3 linked regions of the Drosophila melanogaster genome follow. The protein of the gene in region 3 interacts with the protein of the main gene of each other region in a pairwise test. Each region holds a gene or a part of one and is shown on either strand. Other genes may lie near its edges.

The links.
Region 1: the proteins of Alg13 (region 3) and Grip interact in a two-hybrid assay, tested with the Drosophila melanogaster proteins (one large-scale study listed by BioGRID).
Region 2: the proteins of Alg13 (region 3) and vari interact in a two-hybrid assay, tested with the Drosophila melanogaster proteins (one large-scale study listed by BioGRID).

What each region holds. Positions count from the first base shown.
Region 1 is NC_004354.4:5,959,689-5,971,640, forward strand, and holds the start of Grip (glutamate receptor interacting protein), read left to right. Parts: upstream 1-6,590; 5' UTR 6,591-6,877; coding exon 6,878-7,049; intron 7,050-11,952. Other genes in the region: fs(1)M3 (female sterile (1) M3), read right to left, coding at 1-1,748, 1,801-2,063, 2,121-2,600, 2,663-3,049, 3,101-3,593, 3,650-3,785, 3,859-4,469.
Region 2 is NT_033779.5:20,791,237-20,803,033, forward strand, and holds the start of vari (varicose), read right to left. Parts: upstream 5,807-11,797; 5' UTR 5,523-5,806; coding exon 5,417-5,522; intron 4,899-5,416; coding exon 4,801-4,898; intron 4,020-4,800; exon of another isoform or gene 3,772-4,019; intron 3,703-3,771; exon of another isoform or gene 3,570-3,702; intron 2,911-3,569; exon of another isoform or gene 2,824-2,910; intron 1,031-2,823; coding exon 878-1,030; intron 429-877; coding exon 1-428.
Region 3 is NT_033777.3:29,137,470-29,147,347, forward strand, and holds Alg13 (Alg13 UDP-N-acetylglucosaminyltransferase subunit), read right to left. Parts: upstream 1,105-9,878; 5' UTR 1,058-1,104; coding exon 542-1,057; 3' UTR 501-541; downstream 1-500. Other genes in the region: Vha100-1 (vacuolar H[+] ATPase 100kD subunit 1), read left to right, coding at 1-54, 115-217; superdeath (suppressor of ER stress-induced death), read left to right, coding at 1,273-1,294, 4,741-5,596, 5,660-6,376, 6,440-7,103, 7,163-7,368, 7,435-7,743, 7,804-8,029; CG14511 (uncharacterized protein), read right to left, coding at 8,364-9,332; CG11882 (uncharacterized protein), read right to left, coding at 9,724-9,878.

The sequences.
Region 1 (11,952 bases), on a different chromosome or scaffold from region 3:
TGCTCAAAAGTCAGTGAACCGAATACCTCCAATGCGTCTCCCTTTAAGGGAATGCGATGTTGTAGAAAGTAGTCCAGATTCATGTTGTTTACGGTTTTCAGATTCAGGTCCTGTTCGACAAAGAGGTTCTTGAACGTTACGGGTGGCCAGGATTGCCCCTTGCCCTGCTGGTATATACTTTGTATCGGAGCTCCATTCACTTCTGGATACTCCAGTTGAAGTTTGCCTATTTTTGGAGCCTGATGAAAGTGAAGATCCGCTGCAATGGCTTCTCCACTGGAGAGGCGGTACAGTGAGGCATTGAATCGTCGTATATCGATTCCGTTTACCAGCTCAAAGTGTGCATCCTGCTCCAAGTGTAGAGTATTAGCTCTAACTAATCCCTGTAGCTCTTGCGGAGCTGTTATCACCTGGGTTTCGTTTGTGGGGCTCCGGCGAAGTAGGGCATCTTCGGCCAATTGAGTGAAGTTAAGATCAATTGGCAGGGAATGCTTACTTTGGATATCCTTTAAGTAGGGTTCCTTCAGTAGAACGTGTCCGGCAATGGTCTGGTTGCCCACTCTCCTGACTGCATGCTGGCGTAGGTAGTCTAGCTGGGATTGGGACTGCTCTTCACCATCCCATAGAGCATCGCCGGTGACTATCAAATTCCGCCAGGGAAGTTGCTGCACTTGCTCCACTCGTTGCTTGAGATCATTTAAAACTGCCTCATTGACAAAGGGACACTTTAGGCTGCCATTGATGTTCAGTTGCTTTAGGTAAAGATCTCCTTTTAGTTCTAAGTCTTTGCGTGTGTCTATAAATTCCTCCTTGGGTACCCCATTTATTCGATTTACATCCACATTGGTGGCCATCATGCGGTCGAAAGTGTAAGCACCACTGATTTGCTGGGGTGTCATTCGCAGTAAGGTGTTGTCGAGCAGGGAACTTAGATCCAAATTATTGATGTGAGGACTTTGCAGGGCATCATTTATTTGGACATCGGCCATGAATGTCTTTTTACCCCGTATTTCCGCGTTAGAATCAGATCTCACCAGGCGATCTAGGTACTCGTCCCATTGGATTCCATTAATGTTCTGCACTTGGACAGCCTTGTCAAATCGTACATTTCCTTCGATCAATAGTTGCTTGTGAAGAAGTAGGGGCTGTTCACCATCTTCCGAAATTTTGGACAGCAGTTCATCGAAGGGCAATCCATTAAGTCGCCGAAAATGAAGATTCTCCAGATGTGGGGTTTCGGTTAGTTCGAGGCGTTGCAGGCTGATATCGTGACCAAGCAGCTGTTGCAATGGCAATCCATTAAGATGACTCACATTCAAATGATCATGAACGTTGATATCATTCGCCACCACCACACGGGCAAAGGTCTTTGTACCCGTAAAGTTTTGGGTGGTGTTTGATTTCACCACTATTTCACTAACAGGTACTCCGTTTATTTCATTGGCTTGAAGTGCTTGAACAGTCAAAGGTGCCTGGAAGTGTTTGTGCCCCGTGATATTAACAGCGTCTCCATGACTCACTGCATCTTTTGCGATCTCCGCCAAACGGGAACTGTAATCCCTGCAAATAACATCGCCCAGTATGGTTGCATTCATAAAGATAATGTGTAGAGTGTTATTTGGGTGAGTATGTTGGTTCTGCTGTCCTCCGCTTAGGAGATGATCCCTCACAGGATGACCGTCAACATAACTGGTGGTCATTGAGGGAACACTAACTCTGGCATGTCCAAAGGTCAAGTTAGTGAGGTTCTGCGGAAAGACTATTGTCATTAAAGTGAATTAAATGAAGTTGAATCTCAACCTGTGGCGTCTGATCAAGAAGGTACGTAGATTGTATATCTTTTCTGGCGAGAGATTGGTTTCCGAGCACTATAAGTGAGTTTGCCGTGTCTCGCAGGACATTTGTGACCGTCAGGGATCCGCGGATGGTTACCCTGCCCGTGTAGTACTGTTGAAGACGTTGTTCCATTGGATCGTCGAGTTGTCTGGGCTGTGGCTGCCACTTGCTCGTATTGCCCACAAAAATGTCACCCGAAACACTCATCTGATTGATGCGAACAGGAGCTGAAAAATATGGATTTGTTAAATGATTTAATGGAATATATCAAGGAGGACACTAACTTTTTATCCATGTATCATTGCTACCGCGATGAAGTACATCGTGGGCAAAGTCAAGTCCATTTACTTGCTGAGCCTCCAAACGCGGAGCAAAGAAGGCGGACATGTAGATATTCGAACTGATCACCTGGGCACGCCGCAGATTAAAGAGACGATCCACCACGAGTCCGTTGAGCAGAGGTGTCTTTAGACTGTTCACCCGGACTCGCGATTGCATAACCAAGCGTCCTTCTATCGAAGTGTCACGACTGCGCAGGAAGAGCGAGTCCAAAAAGTCGTTCCACTGCACTCCGTTTATCTGTTCCACTCGGAGATGACGAACTACACATTCACTGCCACTGGTTTCCTCAGGCGCAATCTGGGCACCACTGGAGTTGCGGAAATCTTGGGGAGTAACCAATTGATTTACCCTAAGCTTTTTCGTCTGCAAAGGACTGTTTCTGATGGTCAACATAGGTGGTTTTGAGTTATCCAAAATGTGGCCTGTAAATTAGGAAGAAAAAAAAGATTTATATCATATTCTATTCCTGAATTCCCATACTTGCCTGAAATTAGCTGTCCCTTGTAGATAAGATTGCCCACGCGCAATCGTCGCGCTTTGAGTGTCTCCGGCTCATCGTTCTCGTTTCCTGTCCCAAAAGAGCGTGTGGTTCGCCTGGTCTGGATCGCTTTAAATCGTTGACGAAGTTCCTCCAAGCGTTGCTTTAATTGGGTGGGCGTGCGCAGATGTTCGTCCACCAACTGAAGTCTTCCTATTTGTCCTTGCTGCACTAGATGCAGTGGCGTGTCGAGGTGGATGGCCGATTTGCGTTTTAAGATGTCCACAATGTTTCTCAGGTTTTCTGTAGAGGAACGACGGCGCAGCAGGAGGCCACGTAAGGCATTGATGGACTCCTCAAACTCGTGACGATGCAATTGGACAACACTTAGATCTGTAAAATCACTAGTTTCAAATTTCCACTACAGAGTTATATTAAATGTACCTTCATCTGGAGCAGCGCCCACTTGGTTGGAGATTTCTTCCACGCCACCCAATTGCACAGTTCGGATCAGATCACTCGAGGATCTTCGATAGGCCAGCAAAAGAAAGGTCTCATTGTGCAAGTTTTTATGAATAAGTAATCCACTTGGATCCGCTTCTCCAGCCACCTGAAATCCACTATAGCAATCCAGGCGAGTGGAGCTGAAGACGATCACCTCGCCATTGGCACGGGCACCAATCAAAAGGTGACCCTTTTTGGTGGCACTCAATCGACGGAAACTCAAATCTTTTCGAGCATGCTTTCGGTACACCACAAATTGTCCATCCACCATTCGGAAGAAAATACACGAGGCAGATGCAGAGGAAGTACAGGCGATGAGGCAGTTCCTCCCGTGAAATCTAACAGCTTGGACACTTTGCGCCTGAACTGTCAAAGCCTGGCGTTGTTGCAGGATTCGGCTGTTTCTATCCAGCTCGTAGATTGTGAGCACCAGCTAGAGGGAAACATAAATGAATTAAGAACCATCTAAATTATTAAAAGTTATATCACCTTTGACTGGGAACCCTTTAAAGAACGACCAAAAATGATATAAAGTGGCTGACGACCAACCACTTGGAGAACGCGAATGGCGGGTAGAGTGATCTCCTCGAGTGGATTAAAGTAGGTGTCCAGCCACTCAAAGGTTCTGTGAGGAAGTCGTCAATATTATGAATGAATAATGAATCAATTTTTAATTGAAAATGTATGCCAATCCCAACCTGCATTTGCTGTGTGATCTGGTGTGATTGGAGGCCACTAGGAGGAGCACCTGATCTCCACTGGGTTTCAAAAGGTGCAGCTGTAGAAAAGCACCTGGCAGCGAGAACTCCTGGAGGGGCTCAAAGCTCACCTGTGTGGCTGGATCTTCGGATAGGAGCAGTTCCTTGGGCAACTGGTAAACCTCCATGGAATCATCCAGAACGATGGCAAGGAGCAGGAACTCCCGCCAGGCCACAACCTCTGCTCCGAGAGCTCTGCGACCACTGACCTGGCCCGCCAAGTAACCAAGCGGCACTAGACGCCTCTCCCCAGTGGCCACGTGCAGCTGAAAAATCTCGTGTCCATGGAGCAGTAAAAGTAGATCCTCTTCCGGTTCGCGGAGCACAAAGAGTGGCTTCTCATGGCGCACCATCATGTCCACAAAGGGCAGACGGATTTCCGGGCCAGAGCTACTGCCATTCAACCCATTGCGACAGGAACTGGGCAGCAGCTGGGCAGCACTCGGATCTCCAGCGACTTCTGCTGCTGATAATTCACTTTGTACTTGGGCGATATAGCTATTTAACACTAACACACTAAATAATGCTGCACACACGCTTGGCGAAATCATTTCGCAAGGATTGCAGGGACTGTTGTATCTAGTGATACTAAACTACAATGATATATTCAATCCATTCACATGGCACATTACTTTTGGTGTGCCATTTCTCTTGTTCGTAACTGTAAACCAATTTATACTTCGTGAGAGAGCTCTAGTATAACTGTAAAATGAAAAGAAATACTGTGAGTGACGGAAAGCGCGCGAAAGACAAAAACTCATCGAACAGTTGTTGTTATTCCGTTACAGTGGAATAAACAGAGTTACTATATGTAGAGTGAAATATGTATATTTTTGTAGTTCCTGGTTTTCCGATTTGAGTTCTCAGCCTGAATGTAGGCAACGGAAAGTGCTTTCATTTGTGCGCTCAACGAGCATTTTTCCCATGTGTCGCATTAGTTTTCCCCGATTTTCTCGGCACTCGTCAGTCAATCCGCGTCTCTCCGTCCTGCTTTCTCCGCCTGCAGCAGTGACACCTTGGACTGGGAATTAAATTTTTCGTACGGGGTTGGGCAGTGGGGAATGGGGCATATAAGGCTGGGGATCTAAAAATAAGGCAGACAAACTTGGAGAGTGCCTTCGACGTTTCTGCTGAATCAATCAGCTTCGATCATTAGTCGAGGTCATTAAAGACATTAAACCTCGAGCCACCAAAAAAAAAAAGATAGAAAGGAAGAGAGCATTTAACACGGAAGAGGGAATCGCATAAAAATAAATTTATATGTACGTATGTATGCACATACATACATATGTATGTGAAATATTTTGGGGGCGGAATGGGCCTTACCAAGTCACCCATAAATCCGCAGCTTTAACCTAAAAGGTGGCCACATTTGTACTTGCAGTTAAATCGGATTTAAGGCACATATAAATATGTATTAATAGGTGTACAAGAGGAAAACGGTATTCATGTCATCGCCCTCGGGGTCAGGATTTGGGGGCATCCGTTGGGAACACCCGCTGAAATATTTACTTTGCCCAAAATCTGATTGATCGCAGCATTGACATGTTATGCAAACAACATTCCAGTGTAACGAATATACAATTGTAAAATAAATAAGAGCAAAACATACAATCGGATGTTAAATTGAGGTGAACTTAAAATTTTGTAGATCAAAATTGGCTTTTATGTTTTAAACTTTCAAAATGTAACTTTCCTGAATGCCCTTTTAAGTTTGTACCATTTCTAGTTGGCTTAGTGCATGGCTAATACCAGCTGTTGGTTTCAGCAGATGTGCTCACTGGTTGCGTGCTGCCGATTTGGTTCATTTCATTTCGGTTTTTGTTGTGTCCTGTTTCTGTTGACCATTTCGAGCAGTTGCCGTCGCGCTTTTCGTGACTAATTAGCAAATTCGCGACACCCGTTTTGGGAGCATTTTTTTCTGCGTTCGTTGTTTGGCGTTTGGCGTCACAGGCCAAAACCCAAGTCACCCCTCCCCCAACACACTAAACCATTAACCATTTCGGACTACCGCTTAACGGTTAACAGAAGCAGCTGATTGTCATGCCTGCGGCTCATCAGCGGGCTCATAACGGCGCTTTTGGAGTGGCGGTCTGTGATTTGAGTGCCTCCCCAATGGGATACTCTTCTGCCAGAGAGAGGACGAGAGTAAGAGCGAGAGAAAACTCTTTCTCCAGTAGCCAAAACTCCCCAAAAAGCGCTCCGCTTACGCACCACTCTCGCTCTCCTTTTTCTCTTCCTTTTCTCCTCGCGAGTGAGTCACGCAGCTAGAGCTAGAGCTGGAAAAACATCGATGCTCGTCGCCGTCGATGTTTTCGATGTTTTATGGCGAGAACATTGACTATCGAAAAATAAACGAAAAATATTACTCTTTCTGTTCTTTTTGTGTGCATTCGTATTCGTATTAATAAATATGAAAATTAAAACATACAAATATATTTTATTATTACTTATTTATTTTCATATATATACATACACACATTTAATACGGGTTATACAAAAACTTTCGATTAACTATTATCTACAAATTTATCTAAAAATATAAACTCATTTGCAATAAAGGATTCAATAACAAAATTCAACATCAAAGTTAACAAAAATGTTCTGCAACATCGATACTATCGATGTTACATCGTTAATTCTACCACCTCTAGTACTGGCGGCAAGATCGCTCATTGTGCAACTTTTGGCCGTGCTCCGCGGACGTGCGCGCATCGTCAGGTTCAGTCGCATCGCAGTCGCCGTCGCCGCCGCAGCCGTTGAATTTCCAAATTGTTTTCGAATTTCCCGATATCGATTGGAAACCGAATTCGTTTTTAAATTTACTTTACCTTTTTTTTTTTTTTAAATATACAGTTTTTTTTTTGTGAAAATGCCAAATTTGCCATGAGTGTTGAAAAATCGTAGAGATCGCTGCGTTTTCCCATTTGGGGAGAAGTTGGAGAAAAGAAAACTCAAGATGAAACTGTGGAAATCGAAGAAGCCCATTGGTGGCTGTGTGCCCGGAAAATCGGCCGCCCTAAAACAGGACCAACAGCAGCAACAACAACAGCAACAGGAGTCGCACAACAACTCCTTCAATGGACACCATCATCCGCCGACGGACACTGCCTTGGCGCCCATGTTATCCGGTAAGTGATGGGGCTTTCCCAATCTTCGAATTTTCCAATTTTCCCATTTCCCCCAACCCACTTCCTTCCACAGCAGATAGCCAGCCAAAAATCATCTAAAAGCGCCCAACATGTGCGCTCCCATTTTCCGCTTTTCCGCCTTTTCGACTTGCCGACTTTCCGTCTTTTCCCCGCCCGCTCAGGGTTATCGCATTTCCGCCCAAGGTGCTTGCGTTTGGCCCTCAAGTGCTTGACTTTAGATATAGATTTGTATACAAATATCCGACGGTGTGTTTGCATCTCTATATCCAAGTATCCAAGCATCCAAGTGCTGTTGAAAATATAGTTTTCGCTCAGTGTGTGCTTGTGGGCCAAGACAATGTTTGACATTTTCAATTGAAAGTAATTGCTCGCATTTCGTTTTCATTTTCCGATCGCTCGAAATTTGTCAATTGCAACGCCCCTTCCCTCAAAGAAATAAAGAAACCCCCCATGGAGCCGATGGAGCTGGGTGACCTGACCCTTGATTACCCAGCGATTGGTTTAATAGGATCAGCAGGCAGTTTGATGGATTACCCGGCCATCGAATGGCAATCGAATTGGATTGCCAAATCAGTGAAGTTCAACGGTTCGCTGCTATATTGCTCTATATATCATGACTAATTGGAGCTGATCAGATAAGCAGATGATCAGATGCATTTCCCATCAATTGAAGGAAGACCTAATTGAATGGATTGCGCAATCTCAAAGAGAAATACCGAGAATTTGGTGTACCTATAATAAATTAGCTTGGAAGAAAAGAGTATCAGTTTCGCCCACCTCCATGGCTACTGTTTCAACTTTGACCTATCATAAGTTGAGATCTAGATAGGACACCCCTTTTTGAGGATCTTAAAAGCCGTTCCGCGAACGCTGTTCTCTTTTTATTTTCAGCTTTTCCGTTGATCTTTCGCGGATTAATGATCTAAAAGTGCCGCCAGGATGGACGCGAGGAAAAAGGCGGCTGGGATTTATGCCAGTTAAGGCATTAGCGGCGTAAAATGATGGCCCAACTCCAATTGCAACTGCAGTTGAACTTTCCAATGAATGAAAAGGCCAGAAGAGAAGGAAACCAGATACCGATGTGCTATGGGTGAAGTAGAGAAGCGCAGGAGATACAAAAGTATCTGCATCTGTTCGTGTGCGCGGGCTTAAATTGCATTTGATGAATTTATGGCATGGCAAGCGTAATTAAGCATTTAATTAAATATTTCTGATGCTCCGCATTGTTGTTGCTCCAACTGTTGCTATTGCTGTTGCTGTTGCCCCTTTTCATTGCTTAATTTTCTTGCGCGGAATGCCACAGATTGTATCTGGTAGATAAGGCCAAGTGCCTGGCCAGAATGCAGCTTCTGCTGGTGGCAGTTGGTCGATGTGGATGCGCTTACTGGGCCAGACAATCGTCAATTGATGCCAAATGACTAGATGAAGTCGTACAGCAGTGGTCAAGATAATAGCAGCTTGAATAGGTTTAGCTTAAGGCTTCATTATAATTGGTCTTGCTTAGTTTTCAAGTGTATGCATAGTGGAAGCTTGAAGGCCTTTCGAGATTTATTTCCCTGTTGAAACATAACATTTGATCTCCTATTGTTTCGACCCCCTGTGTAAACCTAATGGCACGCACGTTTGTATGTAGATGCATCTGCAATTGGTGGCTGTGGATGGTTGCCTATCCGAAGGCAAACAGAGGCGTGTACTCATCCAAAAGGGGGGGATCAAAAAGGGGGGAGGATGACCAGATGTCACTTGTTTACACAGTAATGACAGCTACAACAGCAGAAACAACAACTGCAGCGATTGATTTGACTGCTCATTTGACTCCCTCGAATGCAAACAAAGGCCTGAGAATATCGAAAGGTGTTCAATGTCAATGCACCGAACAGCCCAAAAACATCGGGCCCAAAATCAAACAGATGACAACTCCCCCCAATTGGAATCGAAAAAAGAACCCCTCACTCTCTTGTCCACTTTTATGGCACATTAAGTGCCCATAAAATCAACGACAAAACATTGGAAATCGTAAAAAGAGTTGGAACTACTCGAAAAATGTCGAAATGATATAATAGATCAACAGATTATACTGTCAGCGTTGACAGGCGGGCGATGGGAATACGATCTAAATTTGCATTGCTTCCCAAGGATTATTTCGGTAAAATAATACCAAAATAAATTAAAAAAATAAAATGCTAGAACATCTTAGACATTTTTTTTTTGATTAAATGACATTTGTCTTGGCAATAAATTGATACATTTTCACGGTGATAAATAAATGGTGAAAAAATGCAATTGAGGTCAGAGTTTCATCTTTTTTGTGATGGTCGAATCGAAAAAAGATCACGTCTGACATGGAAAATATTTCGAACTTATGAGGCGATTAAATTTATGGAATTTTGATGATTATTACAAGAGGTCCAATGACAAAAATCGGGAATGAATTGATAGTGGATAATTCCTTCTGTCTTTTACATCTACCATGTGTGTTCTTTTCTCAGATTTTATGCGATTTTTCATTGCATATGTCGATTTTTTATGAGCTGCATTGAATAAATGCTTGAAAGACAAGTAAAACGCCAAAAGAAAATGGGTCGCGTTCTGTCCTATCTATTTGTGGGTTTTTCCTTTGTTACTTTTTTATTACCAGTAAATTGAAGTGTTCGAATTTTACAACTGATTTGAAAGCAATTGTGATTTAACCATTTATCTGAGGGTATGTGAATTTTTTCTTTTTTACGATCGAGGGGGAGTTTTTAATTCCAAATGTTGTTCGCAACATGGTGTATTTTTTTTTTAAGTCCTTTCTATGCTTTAAGTGTTAGTTTTAAGTTTTTTTTTTTGTTGTGTATGCTTCTGTTTTGCTGCAATTTCCGAATCGTTGGCGACATTTGACTGCTGTTGATGGGTTTATTTTACTCCCTGGGGACGCACATCGCTCCTCCCGATTTTAAGCACCCTCGCCTTCGGGGATTTCATGCCATGCAGCAACAATAAAAATTGGGAGTAGGTTCGCTCATCCAGGGATTTTCATAATTCCCGGTCTATTTTACTATTTGTACTCCAAGGAATTGGGTGATATGTGATGGATGGAATGGGGTGAGATTGGGGAGTTTGGGGAATTGAGTGGATGGTTTAAGGGCGTCAGAGAAAAGGAGCGGGTTAACTCATTGCATTGTTGACGACGACACGAAGTCTATGCCTGCTTGGGTAAATATTCAAATATGTGTCCCTACACATGAAAAAATTTACATGTGCAACTTCGAAGGGTATGAAAAGTATAAGTATAATAAATATTGTGTTTAGGTTAGGGAATATAAGAGTTGTAGAGCTTCGAAAAACATTTCAATTTTCGGGTTCTTGGGAATACTTTTTCTCAGTGTAAGATTGTCGCGTCACTTCCCTGCTTTGTGCACCCCCCCCTCCCCCTTGCCAACCGTCCAGCTGCACTTTCCCATTTGTTTTTGGGCGTTCCCCCCACCTTTTCCCACTTTTCCAATTTTCGTGCCATGTGCGTAAGAGTTTTCTCCGCGTGTGTGCCCGTGTGCGAGTGTGTGTGTTTATTTTTTCGCCACATTGCGGCCATTGAGTGTAAACAAAAAGACAACAACAACAACGGCACGGCGGACATGGGCGCTGGGGAAGGGAGTCCGAAGTGCGTCGAAGGGAACTCAACAATTTGACGCAATTAAAAACAGTTGGTGCTATTTATCAGAGTTGGTCGCACAAGGGGGATTGGGAAAGAGAGAGGGTGTACTAAAACCCCCCTGACTTAAACCTCTAATGGAATTAATATAAATTAAAGCTCAAAATAAAGATAAATAAAAAATAAAAGAGAAATAACTATGAATGAATTGATATGATGTCCTTAAAGATCCCTTCTATAGCTAACTCAGCCTACGCCACTGAGCTTTGAGTGTTTTGTTTTCGAGTGCCAAAGAAGAGTGCTTCTTTTGTTTTGGGAGGCGTGAAAATCCTTTAGGGCCCCCATATCATAAAGCTGCCAAATCAAACGGAAGCGACGACGGAAGAAGCAGCACGTAAACAAAGCGAGCTCCAGGCAAATGACATTTGTGCCTGTTACCTCTTTCCCAGCCCCACCGTGCACAGTGGGCCGTATGGGCACAATAGCCACAGTGGGAAGGAATGGAATGGAATGGGTTGGGTTGCGGCTGGAATTGGAGTGGAATGAAATGGCAGCAGCTGCTGCCAACTGATAACTCAAAAGCAAAGTTCCGCCACAATAACTGTATAAAAGTTCACTGCACTTCCGTTGAACTCCAGTCGCTAGATGGAGGCACACCAACCAGGGTTCACTGTAGTCCACTGATTTAATAGGGATATTTCAATTCGAATGAAAGCGTTGCAAGTTAATGCGCAATTTGTAGAAATCAACTGAATGATATTCACATAGTACTTTAGAGTAAGCATAAGCATGTAATTATTTTCCTTTGACTTCCAAATGCATCGTGTAACTTTCCAATTTCCTCTAGCAAAAGTTTCCTTTCTCCGACATGTATATTAAATTTTTAATGGTTTTGGCATATATTCTAGCAATTTGCTGCAAAAATATATTCATACTTTCGGGCACTTTTCTTTTGAAGTTTTTTTTCAATTCTCGCCTATTTTTGACAATTACTTTGTGCATACCCAGAACCAATTTCGAACCAATTTTATGGTCACTTTTCCTTTGTGTGGTCTCCTCCTGTTTGTAAACAAATTGCTGGTCCTGCTGCTGTTGTTGTTGTTGTTGATGTTGTTGCAGTGGCATGTTGCAAACATTTTGCTGCCATTTATTTTTGTTTAATTTTCCTATTGCTGCCGCGAAATCTGCCACAACGACGTCACTCGGCAGCAAACATAAGTCGAGACAGAGAAAGAGAAAGGGTAGGGA
Region 2 (11,797 bases), on a different chromosome or scaffold from region 3:
CGACCGCTCTTGATCTCCTCGTCCACGTTCGGCCCGATCTTGAGGGTGAGATTCTCCTTGGCCCGCGACACCTCCACCTGCAGCTCATCGGGAGTGCGAACGGGCGTACCGTTCACCTCTAGGATGACATCGCCAACGTGCAGCATGCTCTGTTTGTCGATCACCCCGCCCGCCAGAATCCTGGCCACGACCAGCTGCTTGAATTCGTCCAGTTCGACGGTCAGGCCCAGCGGCTTGCTGGGATCTCGGCGCAGACCCACCATCTTGATGGTCTCCACTGGCATCTTGGTGTTGAGGACGTCCTCGGTGAACAGGTAGCCTCCCGTTTGGCGTTGGCTGGCGATCTCTAGTTGGCTGGTGGATCCCCCGGCAGCTTTAAGTCGTTGCTCGTAGAGTGCTCCTATCTCATCATGGGCGCGCAAAAGAGCCTGAAGGAAGAATACATAAGTTGTTAAAACAATGTCTATACTAGCATGGTTCATCTCTTAATGGAAAGGGTGCATCATGTTTTGATGGGCCTATGGCTTAAAAAAAACAAACATATCAAGAGCACGTTTTCTGCCTTCTTGGCAGACCTTACTCAGCAATAAGGAAACGACAGCAGTCTCAATAAAAACTTTTGATATTGCCTGGCTGGTGTTTGTTTTAAATGTTGGATAGCTCAGCAACTGATATACAATTACGTAGCTACCGGATGCAGAAGGAGCCAAAGATACAATATCTTAGGTGCATCTCAGAAACATACATAGATGCAAGAAAATCGTTTGTTTCGGATGGTCAGATCCACGTGTTCCATACTATATCCTGCTTGCTGAGTTTTTCATATCTAACTAGCCAAATAGAGAGGCTTTCGCCACGACTTTCCCTGGCTACTTACACGAAAATGCGGCTGGGCGAGAAGCTTGGCGAGCTCTCGCGACTCCAGGCGCCTCGAGGGTGAGAACTTGCGGATGATGTCGTCGCAGATGGGCTTGTTGTTCAGATGAGCGGGCAGGAATAGTGGCACTGGCTGCGGCTCGGTCGGATTCAGCTGGAATGGCAGAGAAGCGGAGAGATGAGTTCGTCATGTGCGGCTAATTAAATTCAGAGCTCTTCGTCTGGGCGTGCCTGCCCTAGGTCAAGTTAAGATGCCTCCGACTTAATTGAGTGAGTGCGTTAATTGGTCCAGCTTTTGGGCAGACTTCTCTGGCTCTCCATGTACTCAATATATATGTATACATGTACATATGTCATGCCATTTAACCCCGGGTGAACTCAGGTCCACGCTGACAACACAGTGTGTGGAGTCTTAGGTCAAAAATTGGGTCGCTTGCCATTTGAATTTGGGTCGCATGAAAAGTGAGTTTTCTGCTTTAATTGCACATAATTTCATCTTCCGGCTCCATTTGTCCCTGTCTACAACTACAGCGTTTGTTATTCCCTGCTTCTTGCGTCCATTGTATTTATTCTGGGCCCATCGGCAATTTCCGCCCACGATGGGAAAGTCATCTGAGTCAGCTCATGCAATATTTATGCGAATTTAGCGTGGGATGGCTTTTCTTCTCCGCTCTCTGGAATCCGAAGAGCGTCACTATCGCCGGAGAATTGATAAGCAGAAAGCGAGAGGAATGCATTCTCTGCACAAGAACTCTATTCTGGGAAACTTGTCAGTTGTTTGTTTCTATAAAACTGAATGGAATTTCCAACTACTATTTATAGCTTAATAAGTGTGAGTTTTGAGCTATGTAAAACTCTTTTGAATGAGTGATTGGAAGTTTTCTTACTACTCATTATCATAAAACAAAAATATACTTTTGGATATATGTATATGGTATTCCAAGATAAGCTTTTGATCGCATTTAAATATATTTGTGGATGAGTAATCCCGACTGCTTTTGTTTGTTTATTTATCGAACCAGCGAAGATCGTATTTCCGCAGCGCTCTACGGATTTTCGCTAGCTAAGCCCTTTTCCGTGTGAAAAACTGTGAAGAAGCCCCACGCGACAGACAGTCCCCACCCTTTTTCACCACACACCCACATTTGTTATTGATACTTTGGCCTGGGCTTTCACCTCCACTCTGCAAAATGTTTTCGTCATGACAACGTCAGTTTAAAATTGCCTCAAAATATTGTGTACCGCAACAGGTGCTTACTAATTAAGCAAGCTGATAATTAGACACACGTAAACAAGTGGCGAATTTGTTTCATATTCGAAGGCTGTGGCTGTGAAATATTTAACCTAAAATAACCAAAGCAACTAGATAAAGTTATAAGACCTTAATGGCATTAAGTATGCAATAACATTAACAGTTGATCATATTTTTAGTTGACTTTTATTTGTTTTTTATTTTATTTTTTTGGAGCCACTCCCAAAACGCTGATGAGCGCTTGTCGTGCATATGTGTGCGTGTGGAGAGAGCCACTCTTTTTGAGTTTCATAGTATGGAGTTTGGGGTTTTGGAAATGCCAAAGCATGGCCAAGACAGTTACTGCTTGTTGGCCAGGTTACAAAACAGTTCTCGGCGACTACGTCATCAATTCAAGCTCGGAAAAGCTTTATGCAGCGGGGTTACCAAGGCACTAGCACAACACACTAATAACTGTTCCAGTTTTTCGTTTTTCCGTTTTTACAATAATATTGATCGATTCGTAATTAGCACCTGAAGTGGGCTTATTAATTTTCACACGGAAAATGGTTTATGAACATTGTTGAATTCGAAAGAGAGAGGGCAGAGAGAGCACCAACTAACTGTTGCTTTTCGGTTTCAAGCCGCCCGTTTAAGCCACGCTCACAAACACCACCGTGAAAACACCTATACTACAGTCAGGCACCAATGCTCACTCATTCGAATGGGCCGAAACCAACGAAGCGCGCGTTTCAAACCGGAATGTGAACCTCACCTTAGCACTGTTCGCAACTAACTGACTCACGAGCTATGGAAGCAAGCGGCGAGAGCTAGTGAGCAAGTTAGGGCTAGCTTTGTTTGCTGCTCAGTTCGCTTGCCGCTGGCTTGCCGTGAAAAAAGCTCCGCGTGAGCCAAGTTACAACTGTACGCAGTCTGTTATCCACATGTTAGCTTGTACTTAACAGTGACTTAAAACCAGCAGTGACGCGCCCTCTCTTTCTGTTAATGAAAACCATTTGAAACTGTAGAAAACTTTTTAAAATACAAATATGTACATACTTGGGGTATATCTAAAATATAACAATAACCAACATTAAAATGTTCTGTTAAATGTTATACTGAAATTAAATAATCTGATCTTAGCTTTCCAAATATTATAATTCAAATGTTGCTGAAACATATTTATTTAACTAGCTTTATACTTTGTTCAGTAAAACAGAACCTTAAATAAGTAAGTTTGGCTATAACATGCTTTGCAATGTTTTTACCAACTACTTCAGTGATCTTAACAGCATCTTATAGCAAGCTTTTTCGATCTCCCGACCACAGCTGCATTAGTAGGCCAACGAGCTGGGCGCTTTTTGTGCATCGTTTTCGAGCGCAGGTAGCATAAAAAGCGTAGTGTTTACGTTGGAAAATGTTTCCAAACCGGTTTCCTTATTCACACTCAAATACACACAACTTCTTTGGGGCGTTGATGTCAAAGAGTTGGCACGGCGACTTGCGTCGAGTTTTATGTAATCTGCATAAAATGGGGGAGTGTTCCAAGGAGCGGTGACGACAGGCGAGTTGGGGAAAGGAAAACAGGGGAGCTGGTAGTGACATTTCATATTTTCTTATCTCGTGACTCGTGGCTTAATTACTTTCACTGCCTTTCTCAACAGCCGCCGACCACAGCAGAAAACCACAAACGAATGAGCCTGCCCAGGAAAATGCCTCGGAAAATGTTGGATTCTAATTATGGTCGTCGTCACACGATGTCGCTTTCCATAATATTTGTTGTATTTGGCTTTTCCGTACTGCTAGTTTGGGTCTTAATAATCATTGTTTTACGCCTATTTTTTACATACTATTTAATTCCCCACTTCTTTATTATTCGCCAACAGAATAACTTTACATCTTAGAAAGGGCATCTTCAATTTTGAAAATTAATTTTTAAAAATTAATTAAAATATTTTGTTATTTTTCTTGTATACAGAGCACAACAAATTCGTTTTAATTTTGGTTGTAACTGCCTCTCATTGTTTTTCTAGTTGACCTGCGTGTTTGCCGCAGGAACAGCAAATAATATTTACAATTTGATTAGGCTACAAACTTTTTGGCAGTTCTTTTACCGTAAGAAACCTTCGAGGAGGCGCTAAATGTGTCGGGTCAAGATAATTTCCACTTCAATGGTTATGTCACGATGATCTAATAAAATGCCTCCCATCTGCATAAAGGCAACTCATCTGCCGAGGCAATAGAGGTCAAGTTTAGTGCGAAAACTCAAAAGAGGAAGGCAAAAATAAAATAGCAAGTGCTAATGGGCCATTACGAAGTCAAAAAAAAAAAAAAAAACAATTGCAGTGCATGGCTAAAGCGAGAAAATCTTTTAAAATACAGAAGGATTTTCTTTTCTTTTTGGCGCTTGTGGAGGCAAGGAAAATGATGTAATAAGAAAAGCAAACACACGCACATACAAGCAGCCCGGAAAATTCTATCTAGACCGAAAAATCAGCATGCAATGCCATCGATGAAGTAAACACAAATGTGGAAAGTGTGTGCGTGTGTGTGGCTGGGTATGGAAAATGGGTGGAAAACCGTATGCGCAATTTTCTTATTGAGCAGATGCTCGAAGGCGTTTAAGTGGGTCAGAAATTGTACAGAGATATTTTCTCTCGCCTTTTTACGTTTATATGTTCTGGTCTACTTGCCATCAGTTCCTTGTGGGGCGTGTTGGAGTTACTACGCAGCAATCCCTTGAGGAAGATCTCATCGTGGTCGGATAGGTCAGTCGAGTTGCGAAAGGCGGCTAAAACGGAGCGAAAGTGTTTTAGATTAATCGCAGTCGTTAAATGACAATCGGAAACAGATGAAATGACATTCGTTTTGGCAGCTTAATGCTACCCTTTTCAATTCATACAATTCATACAATGATGGAATTCTAGAGGGAAATATTTAGATATACATGCATCTGATTTTTCGTTTTATAATCATATTCTTTGTTATCGATTTATTGTAAATACATTTAAAGACCGCATATCTTCAAACAGGTTTCAGATTATTCTTAGCTATGAGTACAAATCATTATATTTACTTCAAGCAGGCTTACTGAAATGCAACATAACTCTTGTCTCGTTTCACTTTTTGAATATGAATTGAAATATTTAGTTTGTAAATCTTTTAACTATTTAAACAACTGAAATCTTCAAAATTAAAACTTTATTAACAGAGCCTTAAAGGAAAAAGAAACAACAATAAAATGATAGTTTGGAATTTCGTATGAACTTCGCTTAAAATTCTCCTTTTGAGGACACCCCTGGCACGTACCGTTATCGGAGGTATCGTCCTCGCCATTCACTTTGTTGTTTCTGGCCAATAGCTCCACTTTATCCTGGCGAGCTTGGCGCCGCGACCGCGCGCTCCACCGAACCATTTTGAAGGAACTGGGAGGTGGCCAAAATAACAGACCGAATGAAGTAACCCCGGAGGACAGTCTCGTATTTCGGCCAAAAAAGGGTTATAACCCTTGTGTTTTTTTTCTTAGCCAGCCATATGCTTAGCTACTTGAACAGAACATGTCTTCCAGTGATAATCACTTGTTGTTATTGTTATAAACACAACGCCACGCAAACAACAAAAACAATAGCGCGGCTAAGAATTTCACTCCTCCAACAGCGCAAAAACAACCGACTTGTTTGTGAGAAAGAGGCTAACTAAACTGAAAACCGCTTTTGTTGCAGGTGATGCCAAAATCAAAGCTCCTTAAAACGAGAAAGCTTTTGCAGACAAAAAGTCAAATAACGTGTGCCTATCGGTTTTTAAATATTGTGCTTATCGGCGCCACTTCTTTGTTGGGTCGGTACGGTAAATGTACTTTATGTACGGAGTTCGAAAGCCTGTCATAAAAATGCATTCCACTGTTCTCAGGCCATTTAAATTTAATATTGTTTATTATCTTTAATTTTGCTTGTGATTGCTTTTTCTATAGCTATAACATAGCTAAAAATGGATGGCTTGGGAATCGCTGATGGTTTGTGCCATTGATAAACCGTGCGTTAATATTATAAAAAATTTACTTCGATTTGTACATAAATATGTACTCTAAACTGGACGACCAATAAATGTTCGTTCATATGCCAATTAGAAATCAATTTAATTAAATAGTCTTTAAATTGCTTATGGAACTTTATTTATGCCTTAACAAAACTCTGGGATGCAACAAACTTCGTTACTTCAATAAATATGCAATATTTTATTTCTATTAATCGAAAGGGTAATAGACGTCGACTTGCCATAGATGAAAAAACATCGTTTCTCGCTTGCGGTATTTTTCGAAGTTTCAGCATGCTTCGGTATTTTTCGGCTGAAACGATGCGACAGCTCTTGTTTTCATTCCGTTTTGAGCAGCGTGCGCGTACGGTGCTTTCCTCGCATGAAGAGTAAAAACAAATTAAATACCACTGTGGAATAACATCTCAGCGAACGAGTATACGTCGGAAACCGATTTGTCGCGCTAAGTAACACGAGATGCTTTTGGGATTCAAAAAAACCCATATTTATGTGATGATATATTAATGTAAACCCACTGTTTCGTTTACATTTTCGTTTTTGAATGACTGGCTGCGGAAATAACTATAGATTCGCGAAAGTACACTAAATCAGGCAGTAAAATCGGATTGGCAATCTTGGGAAAAAATCGAAGGAAAAGAGACGCCAGCAGCTTCCTCGGATTGTTTTGTTGTTTTCAGTTCGTTAGTGTGTGGCCGTTTTTCCGCCTGTGTTTGTGCAACAAAGTCAAAGTCGTCGAAGCTGCTGCAAAAATACGTGAAATGCAAATTGTGAAAAAGTTGCAAAAGCAACAACAGCAACTAGCAACAACCAACAACAACGCAACGACAACTATAACCGCAATCACACGGCCAACGCAACAATAACAACGGCCACAACAAAACGGCTTCGCGTGTTTTGAAAAATTGCATTGCAAATTAGTAATTAGCAACAACTAAAACAATAGCAATAAAAAAAAGGAAAATTGCGCGCCAAAATCGAAAGAAACAAAAGGATTACACATAAACAAACCGAAGAAGCAGAAGCAGCTGAGCGAAAGAGAGAGATAGCGAAAAATCAAAACAGAACAGGCAGAAATTCCTGTTTATCCACCTTCACCTCCGGCGACACCCCCCGTCGTGGTGAGTTACTTGTCTTTCGGTATTTGTGCCTTGTATCTTTCTTTTTGGTTCTTGTTTTATCCTCCGTCCGATTTGCTGTATGTCCTGCTGTAAAAAAAATTCGCCAAAAGTGCAAAAGTCAAGGCCCCCGTTTGATTCGCGCCCCTTTGACCATTGTGCGCAAGAAACCCGCAAATGTGCAAAAAATTTAGCTCAGCCATCGAGAGTCCTTGATTTTAGAGGCACAGTGGTTAAATGAGTGCCAAATGGTCGGCATGGTAACAGAAGTTTATTACATTTTTCTATTCTTAAACTGTTTCTTTATATAAACCTCATAAATAAACGCAGTTTTTAAATATATAAATGCCCAGATACGTTTTGAATTGTTTTATATTGAATGCCCTTTGATATAAAATAACACTCAACCTATTGGCAGACTCAGCTGGGAATTGAGCAATTTAAATATATATTTATACATGGAGAAATATGGATTTGAAATTTGCACCTTAACAATATAACAAAGGGTAACACAATGCTGATTAATGCACTGTGACGAAATCGGGGGAAAAAAAACGACTATTCGAATAATATACGCAAATGTCGAATGTAGTCAGGTAGAAAAGTGCCATATTTCGATTTCCAACAACCCTGAACAAGATTACGTGCCTTCTTTCCTGTCACGGGAATTGGCCAGCATCGGGTTACCTTGAGAATCGAGAACCCAAAACCGATAGTGTGTGGAGAATTCAGGAATGCGATTTGATCATTTCGACCTGAACCGGGCTTATAAACCGGCCTGATGATGTAATCTCCAAACCGGATTGTCTGCCGTAGATCCTTGTTTTGAATGGTTATTGTTTTCTAGCCCCCTAAACCGGATATAATATTAACTCTACTTTTTTTTTGACCCTTGGCGATTCTGAACATGCAAAAGGATCTTAAAAGGGGTTTTGAATATATTTATACCTATACTCTTACAAAATTAAAATATAAGAGAGATGCTATAATAAAGATATTAGCTTATAGTCAAATAACAATGGTAAATTATTTTCTGTTTTGCATTCTTGTGTGTTTTTTTGAAACTGATTCGAAGTTCAATTATCGGAAAGGAAAACCGGATTATATTGATTCCATTGTCCAATCTTCTTCGGACATAATGCCATAAATTTCCAGCCTAATTACCCACCCATTTTTGCACTTATCCCATTATCTCCGTCACACCACTGTGTCACCGATGACAAAACCAACGCCTGGGAACGAAAAAGAGCTGATAAGCAAACACTTTATGTCAGCTTGAGTCTGGGAGTCAGGCCAAGCCCGAAAACCCAATAAAGTGGCATTCCAAACCGGGGGCATTCCGAAGCTCGGTTTAAGTCCACTGTGCCACGACCTCGCGGCATCTGCGTCTGCGTCTGTCCCGGTAATCAAACGTCTAGACACATTCCGTCCGTCGGCTGCAGCTTCTTTAGGCTCCATCAACCGCCACCCGAGCAGCCTGCAGCAGGAGCGACCTCCTGTCCCTACCAACTGGTTGAAGAAGGACTCACTGCTCACAGTGAAACCCCGCCCAGGGTAACTTGAAATACTTATCAATACTTAATAGGAGCATCACTTGATAAATGTGATTGATTTAATTATACATGTAGTTAAAGTTATTACCACGGTCATAATTAAGCTATTCCGTCGACAAACAACTTAGGGAACTTCCACTGTACCAGCGTATATACAAACAAACAGTAGACACCGAAAACACACTCGTACATAATCCCGTTTTATTGCACGGCTGGGAGGCTGGAGAAGGAGAAGCAGAAGCAGAATAAATAAGAGACAGGAGAGGTCCTTATTTTGTTTTTCGCATTTTGTACTTTTAACTCCCCTGGGAACTGCGACCCGAGTTGTCGAGATGTTGAGTTTTCGAGAGCCCGAGAATCGAGAACGGCAACGGCGAACTGCAAACACTCCACTCAACTCGGGCTCAATCATTATGAAAACAGCTCGGAATGCTCGTAAATTACAAAACCATGGTTTTATTTGTCAAAATTTGAAACTTATTTGAACAGGCGCCGAGAAACGGCAGCAGGCAGCGGTTTTTTGTCGAATCGGGTTTTATTTGTGGGCTGCTCTCTCCCGTTCTCGTTCTTGTTCTCGTTGTTCTTCGTTTTTGTTTTGTCCATTTTGTCCGTGCCGTTTCGTTGTGTTCGTGATTAGCATGTCCGTATGCCCCGTCCCACTCACTCGCACGGTGGAGTATGTGGTATGTGGATCCCAGACCCTGTTGGACCCTTTCTCCCGTCCCTTTCCCCCTCATCATACAGTGGGTTTTCGGTGTGTCTCCATATGAGCTTCGAATTTCACTTGATGTTATCTATGAATTTCTAATTACTGCTTATTTTGTTGTCCTCTTTGCATTGTTAACCCTCGTCCTCATCACATGGTTGCCCATTTGGGTTGGGTTAATGATTGATAAATTGTCACTGATGAGCTCAGACACCAAAAAAAAGTACGTTATCAACCGCGATTGCCGGCTATTAATCTTGGCTTGATTGATGGACTCAAAATCCCCGACACATCAAAATTTTTAAATGAAGCCTGCATTTATGCAGGATAAGCCCATTCCAGCAGATGTTGCATACTTAAATTCGCCCAGATGCTCTAAAGATTTCTACTCATCATGAACTGGGTAATCCAACTAACTCTATGTTACACAACTAAATTCATTGCCATGTATAATTCCTGAAAAAACAAGCTCCACATTTATCGCCATTATAGCAGATAATTTCCTTTTGCGCTTTACAATTTTTGCTCAAATTACGATTAGGTTAACTACATATGTAGCTTAACATGCAAATGCCAATTGAAAACACATTCCCATTTCTGGTATTCGCTTCATTTGGATTAGATTTGCGACAAAAAATATCTAGCAAGGCCACTTAAACGGGCTATCAAACTAAAAAATAAAGAGGAAATGGGTTGAACCAGCTTTATGAATACCCTTCCAAAGGTACATATATAGCTAGTATTTATGACGATAATGAACCTAATTGAAGATTTAATTGTGTATATCATTCGAAGAACCACAATTGTACATTTCCGAGTGCCAAATTTATTCTATTGAATTTATTATGCAATCATAATATAATATAATAAAAAAAACTTTTCTATCGCAACTAAAGATACGCGAGCCTAAAAGTACTTCAAGAATCCACACCATTTTTTTTTAACCCCAAGGCATCTTGAATATTTCCTAGGATATGAAAATCATTAGAGCGCTCTGCTTAAACACAGAGTTATCTTAAAGAAAGGAGATAGCTTAGTTTATCTGTTATTACGGCAGGCTATCTCAATTGAAGCTTATCCTATTGAAGATGATAAGGCGATCAAAGGCATGTAGTAAAATATTTGGCCGACCCTACGGATCAGTGGATATATCCCGTTACTTATAGGGTAAATTGGGAGCAGCGGGCGTTGGGTGAATGAATGAAAAGCTTCTGGCTGCCGGGGTGGGGCAATAATTGTGCGCCGGGGGTGAAAATGAGGTGGGGCGTCGGCCATGTGCTTGATACGCAATCATGGCACTTTGTGTTGTTTGGCTACCTTACGAAAATAGCCATTTGTGTATGTTTTGCTCATGTTTTGGTTGCCTTCGCTGTTGTGCGTTGTGTCGGTTGCCATGCGACTCCTTATATGGTCAGGTTTTGTGCGGGGACTTTTAAAAGCGCGTAATTCGCGAGCCCGATAAGCTTGCTCCCCGAAAAGAGCCGCAACTCCTGCGAGTTATCTGAAGAGAAAGAGCAGAGCCAGACATTCGATCAGGTTTTTGGCCCGATCAAGCCGTTCGGTAAAAGGGAAGCCTGGCTACAACGAACGAACCGTCTATCTAGGAGAGCTCTACCTGCAGGATGTTGACTTAATATCCTTTTGATCACCAACTCCGACGATTATAGATTCTGGGAATTTGGGTTTTCTATCTGCACTCCAACTTCACTTGGGCAAGTTGGACTGTATGGTCATAATGGCGGATGAGCAACTGAAGCGGTCGTAGTCACTGATTATAATTACGATTCCGGCTTATGCAATTCGTCATTATGGCCACAATTTGCCCAAGCGACAACCAACAACAACAACAACAACAGCAACTCAACAAGCAACTGCAATTGAATCGCGTTTGGAAATGAATATCCCCAACCCCAAGCCGCGCAACTCAAAAATATAAAAGTGAAAACTCGTTTTCCTTTCTGCGATTATAATGGCTGGTGTTGGTCGGACGTTGTTGCTCTTGTTTCTCTTAGCTGGATTGTCTTATTGTGTTATGTCTTGCATTTGACTTTGACTTTTCAACCGCGGCAAACCGTCGTCTTGCTGTTCCACCATCCTCACTGCGTTTGGTAGCCGGATAGCTCATAAGTTAATGGAGATCTCGTCATCTCATCAGTCGCAAACGCAGTGTGAGTCGCAGTCACAGTGTGCCGAAATGCATTGAACATGGAAATGGGGTTCAGCAAACGAAATTCGGTCTGATGATCTAGTGCGGCCACCTTCA
Region 3 (9,878 bases):
TCTGGTACTCATGGAGGGCTTGTCTGCCTTCCTGCACACCCTGCGTCTCCATTGGTAAGTCACCTAATCCTCGAGAAGTATGAAATGGTATCTAATTGAACGGCTTTCTCATAGGGTCGAGTTCCAGAGCAAGTTCTACAAGGGCCAGGGTTACGCCTTCCAACCCTTCTCGTTTGATGCCATCATAGAAAACGGAGCTGCCGCCGCCGAGGAGTAAATAAAGCGGAATATCGGTCAGAGCAACAACCAAAGCACGTTGAGAGTCTCATTGCGTTATATGAAATTAACTATCCAAATAAGTGGAATCTACCAGTTACAGTAACAAACATATATGTACGTTTTAATGTTTAATTGTCGTGAATTTATCTATGTATGTATATCGTATAGCCCCAGCAAACGTTAGATTGCTAACAATATTTAATGTTCTTCGTAGACGTTCTCCTGTTTATTAACTATACTTGTAAACTCAAATAAATAGAAAAGGCTAACCCCTTGGGGTTGGCACCAAAAGAAGCTTGCATTTGGGAATGCTTATTGGGAGTCAATGGGACATCAGCTGATTGATGGCGGAAACGAATTTGCTAAGATTTTCCGGTTTCGTTTCATAGGGCTTTAAGGCTTCAAAGTCCAGAGTAGCTAGCTGGGCATCCACGTCGGTAACTTTGCAGTAATACAGATAGTTTTCAGCGGCCAGTTGCTTGGCCAACTCCAGTTGATGATTGTCCATGAGCGTGTCATTTATCACAATGAGTCCAGGTTTCTGGTTATTTAGTATATCCATGCAAGTTCCGGCTCCCGCATGTCCAATAATTAGGTCTGCGGACTTGATGTCCTCCGTATTTGGCCGGAAATTGTACTGCTCTATCTGGATTCCGTAGTTTTTTCTTATCAATTGTATTTCATCGTCTGTTAATGGTTGCGAATTTCCGTGCTGTATGACGAGTTTGGTGCATTTCCGGTTCTGTAGAGCTTTGAGTGCGGGTTCCGTGGATGCAGTTGATATTAGAGCATCGAATTTGGTGGTACCAACGGTAATGTAAACAGTGTTCAAATGCATTTTCTGTAAATAGTTAAACAACAAGACACAGCTGTTACGAGTTGTGCTTCCTCTTCGCCTTTGCCATTCAGCCGGCGTAACTCATACGACGTTCAAATAAATGGCAGCCTGGAAGCTCGAAACACCGGCCATAACCGTTACTTTATCTACTAGGAGTGCAGTAAATAAGTAAAAAGAGTAGTGAAATAGTTTTAAGCAATACTTGTTTAAGCAAAATGCTTAAATTCAATTTTAAACGTAAGTATTCCGCTTTCACAGCGCTCAGTTTATTTTGCTCTCACGCAGCCAAAGTGCGAATTTGGCGCACGCGATCGCCATCTCGCTCATTGTGCTTCCATTCCATTTCCATCGCAGCTTGTTTATTCCGCTTATTCAGTTCTCAACCGTTAGCCGTTACGGTTGTGCCCGCGCTCGTCGGGAAAATACGCGAAAGAACTGTGCTCCGTTTAGTGATAGTCCCTTGGCAAATTGCATTTTGATTAGTTTGGCAGCTCGGCCTTAGTACAAGTGATTTGTTTACATTTAATTCAATTAATTAGGCGTCTGCCAGGCTGCCAACAGTGTGTGCGCGCTTGTGTTGGTGACCGACCACAAATCAGTGTCGCGCCAGCGTAACGGTAAAGGTGCGAAAGAGTCCGACAAACGGTTTTCCAGGACGGAGGTGAAACGGTAAATTAAATTATTCCCACGTTTCGAATGCTGCGTATGTGTGTGTGTGGGCGATTTGTGCGTGTGTGTGCACTGAGAAAAATGCACTGGCATGGCGATCATTTTGCACCACCATTAAACTAAAAATATAAGTACATTAAACGATTTGAGCACATTTCTTTTTGTGCAGTGAAAACGCTTCAAGTACTTAATTATCCTAGGTGCACAAGTAATACAACAATTTTAATATCCATTTGCCATGTGCGTTTCGCTTTGATATTTCTTTCTCTGCTTGCCGGCTGCGGTTTGCACGTCGGAAGGTAATTGACTAATCAACACTTCGTTTAATTTCGTTTTTATATCTGCACCCTCCCCATTTGTTTATTTGGCAAACGCTTTTCAAGTTTGCCTGCCATCTGGCAGCGATTAAAATAAAAAAAAAACAAACACTTTTCTAGCCTCAAATGCTCGATATTACGAGAACAAGACGCTCACGCAGGACCCATAAATTAGCCAGCCAGAAACTTTCCTTTCCTTATGATCGCCAATTTATGGTGATCTCCCGCTTATTTACTAGTCAAATTTGCAGAAATCATCTGGTACTGCCCCAAAATTCAATTAGAGCACCCGTGCAAATTATCGAGTTGCCCAGCGATCGGTTATTCTATTTTTCCAACACCCCAGGCCCTCGGTTCCACCCTCCAGAATACACACCCACACACTTACACACGCGTGGACCATCACTCAACGGTCAATAAATTGGCGCTCTCTTTTTTTCTTGTTTTTGGTTTTGTTTTTGTTTTTGTTTTTGTTTTGATAGCGAGTAAAAGGCCGCGCGATTTAAATTTAATGTCTTAATTGTGGGCGTGTGAAGAACCAATATTTACTTGTCTCCGCTGTCTCTTGATTCCCTTTTGCTTCCCATATCACCCCCCCCCCCACAACTTTCCCAATGATTTGTCAATATTCGCTTTCCCACTCGCAGGCGTTCATGTCCTTGTGTTTATTAACTGTCTGCACTGTGAGAAAACCGTACATTCTAGTCCTATAAAATTGGTTCCACTGATCAAAATGAAAAGGTTCACTTTAAGCAAAGTTACATATGTCCGATCTAATTAGTTAGGAATTTTGAAGATTTCCAGCAAATAATGCGTGAATCGAAGTGTACTAGCCTTATCCATCGCCATATGCTGACACATCGCCAGCGGCTTACACGCAGTTTATCAATGAAATATTGCTATAAATTGGATCCCCAACGAGCGCGAGCGACCCAGGGATACGGACCCCATGGAGGCGGGATGGGATGGGCGGAGTGGGCTGAGGCGGATGGAGGCGGCGTATCATTTGCAGCCTTATTTTAATGAAGGTCATCGAGCCAGCGACGGGGTTGACTTCTGTACATGGTTGTCGGCGTTTAATTGCAGCAATTTGCAAAAACAGCAGCAGCAGTAGCATCATCAGCCGAAGGAGAAAGAGCAGGGAGCTGCAGATGCTGCAAATGCTACAGAAGCTGATCAAATTAATGCCATAACTCAATTAGCCGGCGGGCGTATTTGCATGAATATATAAGTTGATTTACGACAATGTTGTTGTTGCCCGCTCAATTTGTGCTTAAACTTTTGCCAATTGATAATAGCGCTGCTCTACGAGGAGACATCTGTGTTCAGCTACAATCTGAGAGGCTGCTGAGGAAACTCGCTTTTAGTATATAAAGTAGTCCCAAGAATGGGTCCCCTGGGCCATTGACATCGCGATAGGAACGTCTTCAATCAGACATAGTAATAGTAAACCGAAATGTATAGCTATTCTAGCAGATTATTTTTAGAGCATATACAAATATTCCTTTCTTCTTAATTTAAATGAAACTTTTCCCACTTTCATTGACTAAAATTCGACTTTCCCAATATCGTACTAATTGTTAAGATCACGATCGCGATCTATTAACATGTATTTATAACGCTCTTCCTATTTAAAAATAATTCCTAAGTTATTAAGTGTAAAAATCAATTATCGCCTTGCTTTAATTTACGTCTAAAATCATCATAATTGTGTGGGTTGCTTTTGGATTTGATACGGGGAATTGGAAATGCCCTACGCATATTCCAACTCCAGCAACAACTTCTGAATGGGAAATATTGCGAATTTAAATATATATTTCAGTCGATGACACTGGCAGTGGGAAACACCCTTCCCATCCAGCCAGTTGCAAGTGGCTACCCAACGGAGCTCCACTAAAAAACCCGCTAGGTGACTTAAGCTTATATTTAAGTCGCCGCGTAAGCCAGCCATTAATATTTTCCAGTCTTAGTGGGTGTGTTTCATTTTTACAATTGAGCACGAGCACAAAAACTAGGTAGTATTCCAACCCTTTTTCATATAAACCTATTAATGACATTAATCCTTACATCAAGAACAATTGCTTCAGATTTTTCAAATACTTTACCCAACCAGAACCAAGCGCTCTTGGTTTAAGTAGCGTATAACAACGTCTTTATCGACTAAGATATTCTGCTGGATAATACATCATTTTGCTTATTACGTGAGCAATGATTTTTTGCTACTCGTTGTAAAATCATACACTTGTTTTCCCCATCGACGATGAGCTAATGAATCAGTTACGTTCTCTACGACCCCTTCTGAGCAGCAAACTAAACGGTCTCCTACTCGAAAACCGCAAGCCCTGTTCGCAAGCCCCTTCCTGTGGCTTCGCTTGTCAGCCACAAGGACATGGCTCATGCCCAATTTACGCAATTTAATCGAAACACCAGATAGCCAAAGGGGTTGGCACCGGACCAGAGAAACCACTTAAGTGGAACCCCGAGATTGCAGAATGTGCAACCTGCAGTTGGATATCATATTACTTGGGCTCATATTGAAAGCTACAGCGGAAGTGGTTGTGGAAGTGGTTGCCCAGATCCTTCTTCCTGTTTATGAATTGGGAACTGCATTTACCTTATTAGGCTACGACTTAATCTTCCGTTTTAGTTATTGGTTTATGTTCATCATTATAAAGTTTGATTCATCTTCTATTGCAGCCATCATGGTCGTTAAGGAGATACCGCTCCATGAGAATCTGAACATGGAAAGCCGACCCATGAATGCCGCTACGCCCACCACTACCACCACGTTCTCGAAAGGCGGGCGTCGCTACAGTGTGTCCCTGACCACCGCCATTCTGCTAGCCTCCTTCTTCATCTGCACCCTGCTAGCAGTGGGCTTTATTGTCTACAACTTTGCCACTTGCGCTGAACTGGAGCCCGATTCCGATGAGGATGTTGTTTGCACCAGCTACCATTTGAGGAGGCTAAAGGCTGGACATGATGACACACCTAAATACGATAGAGATGTCCGCCTGCCGCACTCCATCCGCCCGCTTAAATACAACATCACAATCGAACCGCAGCTCAGCGGCAACTTCACCTTTGCCGGTAGTGTTCAGATAAGGATAAGGGTGCTGGAGGATTGCTATAACATCACTATGCACGCTGAGGAGCTGAACATTTCGCGTAGCGACGCCTCCGTCCACCGAGTGCAGAACAATGGTGAACCGGAAGGCGACGGTCTGCGGATTCACAAACAGTACCTGGTGGGGGCCAAACAGTTCTTCGTGATCGAGCTGTATGACAAGCTGCTCAAAGATGTGGAGTACGTGGTGCATCTACGCTTTGATGGCATTATCGAGGACTATCTGCAGGGATTTTACCGCAGCTCCTACGAGGTGCACAACGAGACAAGGTGGGTAGCTTCTACCCAGTTTCAGGCCACAGATGCCCGACGAGCTTTTCCCTGTTTCGATGAGCCCGCGCTGAAGGCCAACTTTACGCTGCACATCGCTCGTCCTCGCAACATGACCACCATATCCAACATGCCCATTGTGTCCAGCAACGATCAGTGAGTATTGCCTTTGCTATCAAAGTAATCATTCTATTTAAGTGTAATCTTTGATCTTCTTAGCGCCACCATGCCAAGCTATGTGTGGGATCACTTTGCCGAATCGCTGCCCATGTCCACCTATCTGGTGGCCTATGCCATATCCGACTTTACGCACATCTCATCCGGTAACTTTGCCGTCTGGGCTCGAGCGGATGCCATCAAATCGGCCGAGTATGCCCTGTCCGTTGGTCCCAGGATTCTCACATTCCTGCAGGACTTTTTCAATGTAACGTTCCCCCTGCCGAAGATCGACATGATTGCTCTGCCAGAGTTCCAAGCGGGCGCTATGGAGAACTGGGGTCTAATTACCTTCAGGGAGACTGCAATGCTTTATGACCCAGGTGTAGCCACGGCCAATAACAAGCAACGAGTGGCCTCGGTTGTGGGTCACGAGTTAGCCCACCAGTGGTTCGGAAACCTGGTAACACCGAGCTGGTGGTCGGATATCTGGCTTAACGAGGGGTTTGCCAGTTACATGGAGTACTTGACGGCCGATGCAGTTGCGCCCGAATGGAAACAGTTGGACCAGTTTGTGGTTAATGAGCTGCAAGCAGTGTTCCAACTGGATGCCCTTTCCACATCCCATAAGATCTCGCACGAGGTGTTTAATCCGCAGGAGATTTCGGAAATCTTCGATAGAATTTCCTACGCCAAGGGTTCAACTATTATTCGCATGATGGCCCACTTCCTCACAAATCCAATTTTCCGTCGGGGTCTGAGCAAATACCTGCAGGAAATGTAAGTCCTTAGAGAATGATAACCGATTTATACTCGTATATTCTAAAATTGGGCCGCTTTCAGGGCTTACAACTCTGCAACACAGGACGATCTGTGGCATTTCCTTACCGTTGAAGCCAAATCCTCTGGGTTGCTGGACGACAGCAGAAGTGTTAAAGAGATCATGGATACGTGGACGCTGCAAACTGGCTATCCGGTGGTTAAGGTGTCAAGGCATCCCAACTCCGATGTGATTCGTCTGGAGCAGGTCCGCTTTGTGTACACCAACACCACCAGGGAGGATGAGAGTCTCCTGTGGTACATACCCATTACGTTTACCACTGACTCCGAGTTGAATTTTGCCAACACCCGTCCGACTACATGGATGCCGCGCACCAAGCTGTACGAGCTGGAGAACAGGGAACTCTCCTTGGCCAAGTGGTTCATTTTCAATGTTCAACAGACAGGTTACTACCGCGTCAACTACGATCTAGAAAACTGGATGGCGATCACAGAACACCTGATGGATGTGGACAACTTTGAGGACATTGCTCCTGCGAACCGTGCCCAGTTGATCGATGATGTGATGAATCTGGCCAGAGGTTCTTATCTGTCCTATGAAACCGCCATGAATTTGACTCGCTACCTTGGCCATGAATTGGGCCATGTGCCGTGGAAGGCGGCCATCAGCAACTTCATTTTTATCGACTCCATGTTCGTCAACTCCGGCGACTACGACCTTCTAAAGGTTTGCTTTTAACCATTGGGCGTGCTATAAATATTATTTGACATTTCTGATTCTCACAGAACTATCTGCTTAAGCAGTTGAAGAAAGTCTACGACCAGGTGGGCTTTAAGGACTCGCAGGACGAATCAGAGGACATCCTGGTGAAGCTGAAGCGTGCCGATATTCTGAGCATGGCCTGTCATTTAGGTCACCAAGAGTGCATCGCGGAGGCGAGCAGGCACTTCCAGAACTGGATGCAGACGCCGAATCCAGATTCAAATAATCCGTAAGCAATAAACGAAGTAATTAATACACTCAACACAATTCCAATAAATTATTACTTCCTTTTCAGCATTGTGCCAAATCTCAGGGGAGTCGTTTACTGCTCTGCGATACAATACGGCACCGAGTACGAATGGGACTTTGCTTTCGAGCGCTTTTTGAAGACGAACGTGCCTGGGGAGAAGGATTTGCTGTTGAATGCACTTGGCTGCTCCAAGGAGCCCTGGTTGCTTTATCGTTTCTTGCGTCGCGGCATTTCCGGACAGCATATCCGGAAACAGGACTTGTTCCGGGTATTCGCAGCAGTTTCCACCACGGTAGTGGGCCAGAACATAGCCTTTGATTTTCTGCGCAACAACTGGCAGGAGATCAAGACCTAGTAAGTGGCGAAATTGTCGCTTTATTCCGTGCATTACTAAAGGGTTTGCATTTTTTCCAGCATGGGCTCACAGATGTCCAGCATCCACACGCTGTTCAAGTTCGCCACGAAGGGCTTCAACTCCAAGTTCCAGCTGGGCGAATTTGAGAACTTCGTGAAGGACGCCCACTGGGACTACGACAGACCCGTGCAACAGATCGTGGAGCACATCGAGACCAGCGTCGACTGGATGAACAAGAACTACAAGTCGATCGTGCGGTGGCTGGAGAACGAGGCGCAAGCGTAAGGAACGGATTCTGCGGCTTGGCTGGATCAAGGCTGCAGCAGTATTAGATTTCGCAGCTGCAACTGCATGGGTTGGGCCACCAATGCATTTATGTGTAATATTTATGTCGCGTGTTTTACCAATTCAGAGTCGCCAAAGAGAGAAAGCCCTTGGCAGATCGTCCAGAGCATCACGTTTTTCATTACTTTTAATGTATGCCTTCTTTTCATAACAATTATGAGTCTTGTAATTTTAATTTGTACTTAAATGTAATTGTAAATGTAAATGGAATTATAACATTGTTCGTCACAAAAAAGTTTTGGAAAGCCTATTCCTGTTTCACAGCCTGGTTTTTTCATTTCGGAACTCTGATCACATTTGCAAACATCAAGGTGCCCACAAAGACTAGCGCGGTGCCCAGCCAGTGCCACCAGGTGAAGGGATTTCGGAAGTATACGATCGAAAAGACCAGCGAGATGAACTTGCGGAGTGTGAGGATCAGAGTCACCGTCAGCGAGCTGCACTCCGTGGTCAGGGTGTAAACGGAGCTGATGCACAAATGCTGCGCAAGCACGTTGCCCAATAAGTATAGCAGGATTAGGGGCACTGCCACGCCCAGGAGGGGCAACTGGTAGGACTCGCCCGTGAACGCCAAAAGCCAGTGCGTCCGTATGTCGTCATGCATGAGCAGGAAGGCGGGCAGCGGCAACAGGTGGGTGTAATACAACGCTTCCCTGGCGCACTTGCCATGACGTCGATACAGCAACTCCTGTGTAATTCCCATGTAGGAGGAAACAAATAGAGCCAGCACCAAGAGTGCCACGCCCAACAGCCACCAGAACGTATCCGCCTCGGCGCCACTATCCAAATTCTCCATCTTACCCACCAAATCCGGACTGGAGAAATATGTGCAGACGAAAATGCCCACGCTGATCATGAGCACCGATATGTACTGACTCAACCGGTAACTCCTCTTCAGGATCAACGTGCACAGGCACATGTTGGAGATCAGCGAACCGCCGCGTATGATCATGTGCAGTGTCATTGGAACTTTGAACTTGAACACGTAGTTGTTGCATACGCTGGTCAGGAAAAACATGGCCACGAGGAGCGCATAGTCGCGCAGGCTGATCACTCTCTGGGCCAGGCCAAACTTCGAGGTGAAGATGAAGCCCTCGAGGGCAATAAATGCAAACTGGGCGCCAGTTATAAGGTTTCCAGCGCCGGGATCCAGTTTAACCAGGAGCTCCAAGAAGACGACGCCACTGCAGCAGCCCAAGAAAACGCCGCAGATGGCCGAAATAGCGCGGATGGATAAATTCATGAACTCGCGCAACGAAAGTAGACGATTCCCACCAACTTTAACCTACGATCTGGGCCATGACGAGCTTTTAAGCCAACTTACTTTCTCTTCGGCCATACAAAACGTAAACAAATGCAACAGGTGGTTATCGATAAAGTTCGGTTCGGGCACAGCTGATGTTGGTCTATCGAAAGTGGTTGAAATTCAAATATTCCAAGCGAAAAAGAAAAAATTTATGATTTTAAGAGAAGAATATTTTATTTAATGTACATTACATTCAAAACCAAACTTAAATATGTTGCCTAATCACATTCGAAATATTCGCACCAACAGTCTTTTACAACAATTACAAAATACAATGATGACAATGCTAAGAAAGAAATTACAGATTAGCAAATTAATGGTATATTACTTATTTTTCCTTTTCCAGCAAGGCAATAATTTTGTTTAACTTTTCCGTCTGCTGGGCCTCGAAGTTGTCCAGTCTCTTAGACACTAACAGCGTCAGCTTCTCAAATCTCATGTCGATGTGCTCCTTGAGGATTGCAACATCGGTGGAAGGCGGTG